Arabidopsis thaliana: one gene and its partners. The protein of the gene in region 2 purifies or fractionates together with the protein of the main gene of each other region. This does not show direct contact. Each region holds a gene or a part of one and is shown on either strand. Other genes may lie near its edges. The genes, in order: AT3G52580, PGY2 and AT2G40010.

Region 1 (3,753 bases), on a different chromosome or scaffold from region 2:
ATGGCGAGAACGAGAATTATAACGAACCGATTTGAATCTCGCTTTTTGATTCGTTTCCTTGAATCTCCGACTCTATTCGCCTCTTGTTTCACGAGTTCCAGATCTCTTCAAACCCTAGCCTACGAAGAAGTCCGAACCTCCGGTGATCGGGAGTCTGAATCTACAGCTCTCATCCTTCATGGCCTCCTCGGTTCCGGTCGCAACTGGAGATCGTTTTCTCGCTCCCTTGCATCATCTCTCTCCGTCTCCTCTGCTTCTGGTACGCTTCTCTCTGTGATTAGTATCTTGAGCTTTTCATTTGATATATCGATTGAAATTTCTTGTGTGTGTACATTCAGATTGGAAGATGATATTGGTTGATCTGAGGAACCATGGGAGATCTGCGGAAGTGGAAGGGCTTAATCCGCCTCATGATCTTGTGAATTCAGCTAAGGATTTAGCTGATTTGGTTAAAGCAAGTGGCTGGAATTGGCCTGATGTGGTCATTGGTCACTCTTTGGGAGGTAAAGTGGCGTTGCAGTTCATGGAGAGTTGTGCTCGTGGTGATTTTGGTGAATCTGCTTCTCCTCCTAAACAGGTACTGGACCAAAGTTACTTCACCTTGTGAATTCTTATCATGTATGCAAGTTTAAGAGCTCATTGTTGTTGTGAGATGCAATATTTGTGATCTTTTAATCTGATAATGATGATGATGACCATAGCAAAGGTTGTTTGGTGCAGAACAGCTATGGGTACTAGACTCTGTCCCTGGGGAAGTCAAGGCAGAAAAAAGTGATGGTGAAGTAGAGAAAGTTCTGAAGACTTTGCAGAGTTTACCTTCATCAATCCCTTCTCGCAAGTAAAGTCTCATTCTTTATGTGGTTCTTGGTGTTTGTCTAATTATCTACACTCTGGACTCTTTGTTTTAGCTTAGGAATTCCAAATTGATTCCCGCATATGAAATCTCGAGTGAACGTTAGTATAGTTGGTGTATAAGTATACCATCTCTCTGATTGAGCTGTTACTGCGGATTCTAGGACATTTTTAAGATTTAGATAAGTGGGAATAAAGAGCATGCTTATATGATCGCTTCTAGCTGATTATGTTACATATATAAATGAGGCTCATTTCAGCTTGCAGAGTATAGAATCCAACCTTGGTGTCACTCAAACATTGTTTTCTGATTCTAGGTGGCTTGTTGATCGTATGGTCGAACTTGGGTTTTCAAGATCATTATCCGAGTGGATTGGCAGCAATCTCAAGAGATCTGGAGACTCAGAGACATGGACCTTTAACCTTGACGGAGCTGTCCAAATGTTCAACTCTTACAGGTTTATTTCCCTTCCTAAGAACCAATGACTATGATTATATTATGAACCTTCCTCGAGATTTTGACTTTTTACTTTCCTACTGCAGAGAGACTTCTTACTGGTCTTTGCTAGAGAACCCGCCAAAAGAGACAGAGATAAATTTTGTGATTGCAGAAAAGAGTGACCGATGGGACAACGATACAACCAAGCGGCTTGAAACAATAGCTAACCAGAGACAGAATGTAGCCGAAGGGAAGGTTGCGACTCATCTTCTTCGTAACTCTGGCCATTGGGTACACACAGACAATCCAAAGGGACTCCTAGAGATTGTGAGTCCCAACTTCTTCTCCCCACACGAGTAGACGATGCGCTACGAAAATGGCATTAGTCTTTGCTTACAATTTCACTCCTGTTCAGTATCTATATGCAGAAATAGCAAATCCAATCGCAACTATTTTGACGATGCGCGGTTTTTCCCGTTTGTGTTTCCTAATTTTGCATTAGCATATCCTTTCAACAATGTACAAACGTTTAGGAGGATCTAATAACATCAATAAACTTATCACATTCATAACTTTATACACAAGATTTGAAAGACAATGACTGCTACGTTAGTACGAGGCACAACACCAGTAAGAAGACTAGAGACGATTAAAAATCCAAGATGCTCAAAAACTAGCACTTTTGCTCACTTTTATGGGCCGTAATATGTTGGGTCTGTATATATATTGGGTCTCAATTAAATTATCCATAAAATCACTACTTTAACCCTAACAAAAATTCAGACTATTAAAGCAAATTCTGATCCGTCTCTTTCGCTAGCTAAAGGTAAAAGGCGGAACAACAAAAGAAACCCTAGCTTCCCTTTGTACCTCTCTCTGTTCCAAACCATGGTAAGTTTGTCTAAAGCTTATAATTAATTTTCATGGATTTAGTGATTAAGAAGATATATAATCTGTAAATCCATTTCTGGTATTGTGTGGTGGTCTGAAGTGAGAAAATGTTTAATAAGCAATCCTTATTCTTCGAATTTCGATCTGAGATCATATGAATTTTCTGAGACATTGGATTTTTTTTGTGTGGCTCTAGCGTTGAGTTATCAAATTGAGAAGTTTTTATTAGATATTGCAAATGCATAATGCTAGTTTTTGTTTGGTTTTGTAGTCGAAGAGAAAGACCAAAGAGCCAAAGGTTGAGAATGTGACTCTTGGACCAGCTGTTCGTGAAGGAGAGCAAGTCTTTGGAGTTGTTCACGTCTTTGCTTCATTCAACGACACTTTCATTGTGAGTGGCTTCTTTATTTTTCAAGCAAAGTTAGATTTTTATGTACATTTCTGAACTTCTTATATCTGCAATTGCAGCACGTGACTGATTTGTCTGGACGGGAAACACTTGTTCGCATCACTGGTAATCATCTCTTTCAACTCTCACTCTCTAATCCTTTGGTGATGATCCCTTTGTTAACTTGTATGCGGTAGTCTCTGTTGAGTGTGAAATGAAGTTCTTGACTGCCTAAAGGTTCTGCTTAGTATCTGCTCTTTTAAGTTTTTTCGAGGAATCCGTTGATATCTTTATAGAAATTGCTTTGTTCTTGACGGCATCAATGTTCCTGCTTATAGAACTAAGTTAGTTACCATTGTTATTAGTATTATGGTCTTCTCTATAGGGTGTGAGCTGAAGTGTCTTTAGTCTTTGTTCGTTTAACTTTTGAGGAATTCCTTTTGTTTATCTGTTTGGAAATTGCATTGTTCTTAAATAACAATGGGTTGCTAAAATTGCTGTTTCGATTTCCTACTTCTGTAGGTGGAATGAAGGTGAAAGCCGACAGAGATGAGTCCTCACCTTATGCTGCTATGCTTGCGGCACAAGATGTTGCTCAGCGATGCAAGGTAAAGGCAAAGAAATTGCATTACCAAGCAGACAACTTGATAATCTTTTATGTTTCTATATTTAATCGATTTGGTGAATATATTTATGCAACACAGGAACTTGGAATCACTGCCATACATGTGAAACTCCGTGCCACTGGTGGTAACAAGACCAAGACCCCTGGACCTGGTGCTCAGTCTGCTCTAAGAGCCCTTGCCCGTTCTGGCATGAAAATTGGTCGCATTGGTAAAACAGCAGCAATCTTCAACTGTAATTGTTTAATTGCATCTTTGATTGAATAAATCTCTGACATTGTTCTTGTTTTCCTCAGAGGATGTGACTCCAATCCCAACCGACAGTACCCGCAGAAAGGGTGGAAGAAGAGGAAGGAGGCTCTGAGTTATTTGGCCTCTCGTTGGATCTCCTTATGTAGCTTTCTCAATGTTTCATTTTGTTTTTTCTTAGTTTGAAAAGAGTTTTGGAATTACTATGCTTTGTTATAGTCTCAACTCTGAACAGCTTTGGATCTTTTTCTGTATGACCATAAGATATTCAAAAATTGGTAGTCATTTTATCTCACAAAAAAACCTTGAAT
Region 2 (3,753 bases):
GGAAGACGATGATTTATAAATCTTTAATAATTCAATGCATGCCACGATAATGTGATAACTTTGTAGCTGTGTATAAGCACACCTAGAGATGGAGATAACACCTAGAGATGGAGATAGAGAGAGAGAAAGCTTCAGGAGGAGATGAAGAAGATGAGAGGAGGTGCAGATTTGGGGATGTTTTTTTCTTTTTTTTTCGGTCCAATTTTTTTTTTTCTGGATGGATTGATCAACTTTACAAAATCTCTGGCAAATATTTGGTAGATTTTTATTTTATTTTCATTGCTTTAACTTATGAATAAATCTATATTTTGAAAAATAAAAAGCTTGTGTACTTCTCGAATGTTTATGGTCTTAATATTGCTGCTTGCTTCGTTTTGGTCGCATGATTTTAAATTTACTAGGTTATAAATCCACGCGTAATTTTTTTATCAAAATTGATTCTTAACTCTATTGATTTTTATAATTTTTAATATGGTATATTTAAAATAAAATGTTTACTTTATTAGAAATTTTAATACTATAATCAATAATATATACTTTTCACCAAATTATATTACGCGTGGGTTCAAAACCAAGTGTTAATTACTTTGAAAAGCAAATTTTATATAATAAAATTTTAAAGTATGATATACTCATAACTTGATTTTTTTTTTTTTGCCGGCTACTCATAACTTGATTTGGTGCTATTTATGACAATTTCTCTAATTTATTCGACTTTTGTTATTTTGTTCTTTAAAGCAATGATAAATTATTATTTGGTCTGGCCCGGAACGGACTGCTTTCAAATGGACCGGGCCGCCAGCCCACATACTAACTCATTTAGATATAAGTTTCTTCTAACCTCTCTTTCTCTAAAAAGCTGTCGGCGAGTGGGAGAAGCGCAGAGAGAGCAAACAAAGAGCAAACTTGAATTATTTCTCCGTTGGCTTTGTTTGAAAATATATAAAAAAAACAATTAACGGGCCATGAGCTTGTTGCAAATAATCTATTTATTTTTCATTTTAGGATTTTTGTTTCTCGACACGAGTTGAGCTGATTTTGATAAGCCCACATGACATTGTTTTAGAGTTTCTGTTTTTCTTCTTTATACTTTTTAAAATGCGGCCAGTGAATAATTTTCTAAGGTTTATGCTTTAATACAAGTTAAATAATTTTTTTGTAAATAATTTTTTGTTGGAATGTCAAATTTATTCAACAAAAGAAAATGATTACAAAGAGTTTTGAAAGGTAAAAAATGGAGAAAATAAACGTGAAAAGTAGAAACAAAAATGATGAAATTGGCGCCACTTACATCATTATAGAAAGTTCAAAAGGCCTAATTCTGACACAATATTATTAACGGGTCATGGGCTTAATGACAATAATAAACTTTTCTCACTTTTGAGTTTTAATAAGCCCACATTTGCTTTAGGGTTTCTGCGTCTCTATCTTTAAATTGCTTCCGACGATTCATAAACTAGGGTTTCTGCCTTTAGCCGTCGTGAGAGAGAGAGCAAATCGAAGAGAGAGCAAAGAGAAAATAATATGTTGTTTGCGTTTGGTACGGTGACTCGATCTGTGGCTAATTCAGTGGTGGTTTGCTACGGCTTTCTTTCGACAATGGTGTTTTCTTTCGACCTAAACTTGATAGACCGAACCAAACTGAACCAATTTTTATATATATTTACTCAATTAAATCCTAAACTCCTCTATTTGATCTGAACCCGATCAACCCGAATACATAAATATCTAATCTTATCCATCTGAAAGGATACTAAACTCTCTAATTCGAATTACCCGAATCCAGAAAAAGCCGAATAGCATGCATTCTATTGGTACTTGATTATATTAATTGGCATATATATGACCTGTTATTGCCAATAATATATTTTGGGTGTTTCCTGGGCTTCAGTTTTATTGGGCTAGGAATGGGTGTACTTTTAAACCCACTTCTGATTAGTCTCTTAGTAAAACCCACTTTTAAACCCACTTCTGACCCACTTCTGACGCCGTCATTTTTCTTGAGAAGGAGAGAGAGCACCACTTCCGTCATTCCAGCCCAATATTTTTAACGGGCCATGGGCTTATTGTAAATAATGTATTTTTCTCATTTTTGGTTTTCTTTATGGGCACGATTTTAGTGGGCTGAATTTTGATAAAGGCCCACATATGAAAGATATTTAGGGTTTTTTCTCTTGATACCTTTTAAAACGCCGTCGAGAAATCTCCCTCTAGGGTTTCTTTGATCAAACCAGAGAGCCGTCAGGGAGAGCAAAACAAAGATCGGAGAAGATGAAGACGATTCTTTCTTCCGAAACGATGGACATCCCCGACAGTGTTACCATCAAGGTTCACGCTAAAGTGATCGAAGTCGAAGGACCTCGCGGGAAGCTTGTTCGCGATTTCAAGCATCTCAACCTCGATTTCCAGCTGATCAAGGATCCAGAGACTGGAAAGAAGAAGCTTAAGATCGATTCGTGGTTTGGAACACGCAAAACCAGCGCCTCCATCAGAACCGCTCTTAGCCACGTCGATAACTTGATCTCCGGTGTTACCAGAGGTTTCCGTTACAAGATGAGGTTCGTGTACGCCCATTTTCCCATCAACGCCTCCATCGGCGGTGACGGAAAGTCTATCGAGATCCGTAACTTCCTTGGCGAGAAGAAGGTTTGTTTTATCTTCTTCATCTCTGATTTGATTCTCATAGATTCGTGTAGATCTCGGAATGAAATAGACTGACACTAGATTCAACTTTATGATTGGACGATGATGATTGATTTCTGAGTTTGCGAGCACTGAACTTACATAGAAATGTGTTTATTGGAATAATAGGTGAGGAAGGTAGAGATGTTGGATGGTGTAACCATTGTTCGATCTGAGAAGGTGAAGGATGAGATTGTTCTTGACGGTAACGACATCGAGCTTGTTTCAAGGTCATGCGCTTTGATCAACCAGGTACTCTCTCTAACTAGCTGGTATCAAAGAGATTTAGGTGTTATCTAGCCAAATTTGCATTTTCTTGGGACTAAAAGGTTGAGAGATTGTGTTAGATAGGTGACACGGTTCAGTTCTAGGAATCAGATTTTGCATAAATGAAGTGAAAATCGATTTGTATTATCTCTATAGGTCTCTAATAGACGATTAGATTACTCGCTAAGTAAACTTTGCCAATTTTGCCTATTGTTTGGCTTCTTAAGCTTTTCAGCATTGTGTATGAAAGTGTTTTTTTGGTTGATGTTTGAGTTTAGGATCACATTTTTGCATAGTGAAATCAAAAGGATCATTTCAGTGATTGATTTACGTGTTCAAGTCTTTGTTGTAATCTTTTATGTTGTGATTGTTGTGCAGAAATGTCACGTGAAGAAGAAGGATATCAGGAAGTTTCTTGATGGTATCTATGTTAGCGAGAAAAGCAAGATCGTAGAGGAAGAATGAATGCCCATATCATCGTCTTAGCTCCTATTTCTTGTCTTTTGAATGTTAGTTTCGTTTTATGGACCAAATCCACCGGTGTTGCAAAACTCTGGCTATCCCTTGTTCCCTTTTTGTGTTCGAGATTTTATTTACTTATGCACAAGTTTTGGAGACGAGCTATCATTTTCACCTTTGCTTAATTAAATCATATCGTGTGAATTTGGGATTGTTCTGGATTTGGCATTGTGGGTTGTGCATTCAAAATTGATACTTCAGTCACTAAACTAAAATCAATTTCTCGCAACGCTGTGATCAAACATAAAGATAACTTGAGACAACGAAAGCGAGCTTTGCAATTTG
Region 3 (3,753 bases), on a different chromosome or scaffold from region 2:
AAGAGGTTCTGGAGTAAGCTGAATGATCTCATCATCATCACCATCACTATCCTCCTCTGGCTCCGTCTCCTTCTCCTTTGGATCCTCTGGCTCGGTCTCCTTCTCCTCTGGATCCGTTTCCTCCTCAGGATCCGTCTCCTCCTCATCAATTAGCCATCCACAATGAAGATTCTCCACACCTAATCAATTATTTTGACCGCAGTAAAAGAATGTTTCATTTCTTATGTTGAGATTGGTATGGATATGAGTAAAAAAGCTTTTATTACCTCGAACAGAACTTTGTGCATAATCTGATGATGCTTCTCCCAAATGAATAGCTGCTGGTGATGGGTCATTGACTGCTTCGCTATTGATTGATAACTCATCAGCTTGGTCTCTTCCATACTCAATATGCATGTCCTGCTCCTGCTCCTGTATTACAAAAGATGGATCATGCTGCAAGTTACATACCATTTGGGTAAACCAAGTTCAAGAATTCTGTCAATGGTTTCTAATAATGCCAGCAAAACGAATCCCAACAATGGAAGCAACAGATTTGTGAACCTGCACAGAAAGAGAACGAGAAGGAAGAAAAACAAATCACCTTCTCTTCTTCGTGTATTTCCACAGCCAATTGATTGGGTTGTTCTTCCTCAGCCATCTCTTCATTGTGATTCTCAGGCAATTGGTTGGCTTGTACTTCAGCCAATTGTTTCTCTTTTTCCTCTTGCTTTTCAAGGCAGATAGCAAGGAGGGGACCATAGCTATCATCTTCAATCAAAAACCATTGGTCTTCGTAGACCTGAAATCCAAAGTGGGTAAAACGTTATTTTCAAGTTGCAAGGAAAATGTTATCAACAACGGAAAAATGGAGACCCTAAAACTAGCGAACAAACCTCTAACAGTTCCTTAATACTCTCACTGATAACATGCTCATGAAACCCAAATCCTCTCATGCGATCTCGTGCTGCATCCTCTCGCATCAATCCAGCCTTCTGCAAAAAAGCAAAAGAAAAGTAGCAATTTAAAAGCATAGAAAAGAGAGATAATCATAGAAGGAAAAAAACAAGAACACCCATCATAAAAAGAAGTATTTGTAAACTTATCTCATCAGTGTTCTCAACGTTGAGTACACAGAAGTCGTAGAGAGAAACAAAATGTTAACTTCAACAATCATGTCATTCAAATACTTCATCTATATAGTCATTCTACTCTAATGTCTATGTCTATGCTTTTATCTTAGTTTTCCACTATACTCTCTAAAAACTATATGATTCAAAAGCTCATATCTTTACTTGTTAGCCAGCATTTTAATTTGGAAAAACAAAACAAAAAAAACAGTACAGCTTATACCTTTCTTCTTCCTCTGGGAGCCATTTGTTGATCCCTCACAATTCCCTGTAGTTTCAGAAGAAATTGGAGGACCAAAAGTATAAGTCTTTGGGTTATAATCAAACAAACAAACAAAGGCAACCAAACAAGTGATCCCTTTTTTCAAACCTATGTAACAACAAAATCAACGAAAGATGAAACAAAACAAAAGTTGAGCTCTTTCCCAAAAATCCCGAATCAGTAACACTAGAGATAAACCAAAAATACCCTAAAATTCAAACCCAAATGAAACCTAAACAGAATCACAACAAAACACAAAAACACGAACTTAATTTTGCTACAGAGATGACAATGTGCTGAGCTGTTTCGTTCAGATTCGATAGGGAAAGAGAGTACTTACGGCGGAGAAGATAAAATCGGCGGCGACTGTGGAAGGTTTCTTAAGAATAAGCCGTGGATCGCCTCCTCGTCTCCCAAAAATGCTTCTTTGAATGAAATCGAATTAAAAAAATAATATAGTATTTGTTTGGGTCAACCATTTTCTCTGTTAAGTCAACCATTTTCTTATTGGTTACTATAAAAAATAATAAAGTATGAATTACAATGAATGGATCTCAGTTGGGCTTGAGATGTGGGTCGAAAGAGCTTTTAGCCCAATAGGAAAAAGATTCATAATGTTAAACATGTTGGGCAATATTGGCCCATCCCATTGATACTACTACAAATAATATAAGCCGTTAGATTTAGGTCATCCCACAAACCCTGACCGTTCATCCTTCCGTCTTCCGATAACTATATAAACCCAAGAAACTTCTTCTTCAACCTTAAGCAAATTCTTACGCAGCTTTTTTTCTTTCTCTCTTCCTTCCTCTGTTAAAAACAGTTACAGAGGTTAAAGAGACAGCGCCAATTCGCGCTGTCCACCTTGTACGAGCTCCAAGCTTCGTCTAGGCCCTCCATTTTCTCTACCCCAAAATTTAGTTTCTTTAGTCTCACTTTATCATTTTTAAGTGGAAATGGCGGTGAAAGCAACAAAGGCGGAGAAGAAGATCGTTTACGATTCAAAGCTTTGTCAGCTTTTGAATGAGTACTCTCAGATTCTTGTCGTTGCAGCTGACAATGTTGGATCAACTCAGCTTCAGAACATAAGGAAAGGTTTACGAGGTGATTCAGTTGTTTTGATGGGGAAGAACACAATGATGAAGAGATCTGTGAGGATTCATGCTGATAAAACTGGCAATCAAGCTTTCCTCAGTCTCCTTCCTCTTCTTCAGGTTTCATTTCTCTTGTCTTGAATAGTTTGTTTTCATTTGGATATAAAGTATTGATTTTTTGGTTTTGTGGAGAATTTGATTTGGTTTGGTGTTAGAATCTATTTAACAGGGGAATGTTGGGTTGATCTTCACTAAGGGTGACTTGAAGGAAGTCAGTGAAGAGGTTGCTAAGTACAAGGTTTGTTTCTTTGGCTCAATTGATGTTATTGTTGTTGTTAAGCTTTAGTAGAGTTCAAATATGGATTGATAGCTTGGAAAGTGAAAGTTTGTATTTTTGAGTTTGAAATGAAATCATATGTGTTCTTGCTTAAAATGCAGCCACATTCTAATTGAGATTATTATGATTCGTTGAGCTTTGAGGAGATTACATTTTCATTGATTGGTTTATTACTTAGTTTGGTTAGTTTTATGCTGTATCTGATTATCTCTAAGTAAGCAAGAATGCAAGGTGTTGTATTATTCGATTTTAAACACAAATGCAAACTTTCACTTTCCAAGCAAATAGGGTTGATTAGATTATAGTACTAGTTATTTTGGTTCATTGAGGTTTGAGGAGACGACATTTGTAGTTTCTGTTTTGTGTTTTGATTGATTGGTTTATTTTTAGCTTCTACTGTTACTTGATGATTTAGTCAGTTTATGATCATCCTTTAACCTATGGCTTTAGGTTATTAACTTGTAAGGTGGATAGGTGATAAAGTTTGCATTTTGGTTTAAATTGGAACTCAAAACCTCTATTTTCTGTCTTGAAACGCAACCACATTCAAGAAACTTACTTGAGAGTCTACTAGTTTCCTAGGCTCACATTTTTGTAGCGTCCTTTCATGTTGTTGGATTGATTGATTTTTTCAACTTAGTCTTGTACTGTTAATTGATGAGAAATTCATTGTCCTTTTTTTGACAGGTTGGAGCTCCTGCTCGTGTAGGTTTAGTCGCTCCAATTGATGTGGTCGTGCAACCAGGCAACACTGGTCTTGACCCTTCACAGACCTCCTTCTTCCAGGTGCTTAACATTCCAACCAAAATCAACAAAGGTACGGTTGAGATCATAACCCCTGTGGAGCTCATCAAGAAAGGCGACAAAGTCGGTTCATCCGAGGCTGCGCTTCTTGCCAAGCTTGGAATCAGGCCCTTTTCGTATGGTCTCGTTGTTGAGTCAGTCTACGAT

Evidence for each region.
Region 1: the proteins of PGY2 (region 2) and AT3G52580 fractionate together in Arabidopsis thaliana (co-fractionation; one large-scale study listed by BioGRID). This does not show direct contact.
Region 3: the proteins of PGY2 (region 2) and AT2G40010 fractionate together in Arabidopsis thaliana (co-fractionation; one large-scale study listed by BioGRID). This does not show direct contact.

Annotation. Positions count from the first base shown.
Region 1 is NC_003074.8:19,501,145-19,504,897, forward strand, and holds the start of AT3G52580 (Ribosomal protein S11 family protein), read left to right. Parts: upstream 1-2,008; 5' UTR 2,009-2,179; coding exon 2,180-2,182; intron 2,183-2,453; coding exon 2,454-2,573; intron 2,574-2,650; coding exon 2,651-2,696; intron 2,697-3,092; coding exon 3,093-3,178; intron 3,179-3,274; coding exon 3,275-3,404; intron 3,405-3,489; coding exon 3,490-3,557; 3' UTR 3,558-3,753. Other genes in the region: AT3G52570 (alpha/beta-Hydrolases superfamily protein), read left to right, coding at 1-259, 339-577, 726-838, 1,170-1,310, 1,396-1,651.
Region 2 is NC_003070.9:12,021,089-12,024,841, forward strand, and holds PGY2 (Ribosomal protein L6 family), read left to right. Parts: upstream 1-2,136; 5' UTR 2,137-2,271; coding exon 2,272-2,646; intron 2,647-2,811; coding exon 2,812-2,934; intron 2,935-3,327; coding exon 3,328-3,414; 3' UTR 3,415-3,695; downstream 3,696-3,753.
Region 3 is NC_003071.7:16,709,023-16,712,775, reverse strand, and holds the start of AT2G40010 (Ribosomal protein L10 family protein), read left to right. Parts: upstream 1-2,003; 5' UTR 2,004-2,327; coding exon 2,328-2,585; intron 2,586-2,694; coding exon 2,695-2,763; intron 2,764-3,212; exon of another isoform or gene 3,213-3,489; coding exon 3,490-3,753. Other genes in the region: AT2G40020 (Nucleolar histone methyltransferase-related protein), read right to left, coding at 1-179, 267-411, 584-781, 876-1,013. UniProt on the Arabidopsis thaliana protein: Ribosomal protein P0 is the functional equivalent of E.coli protein L10.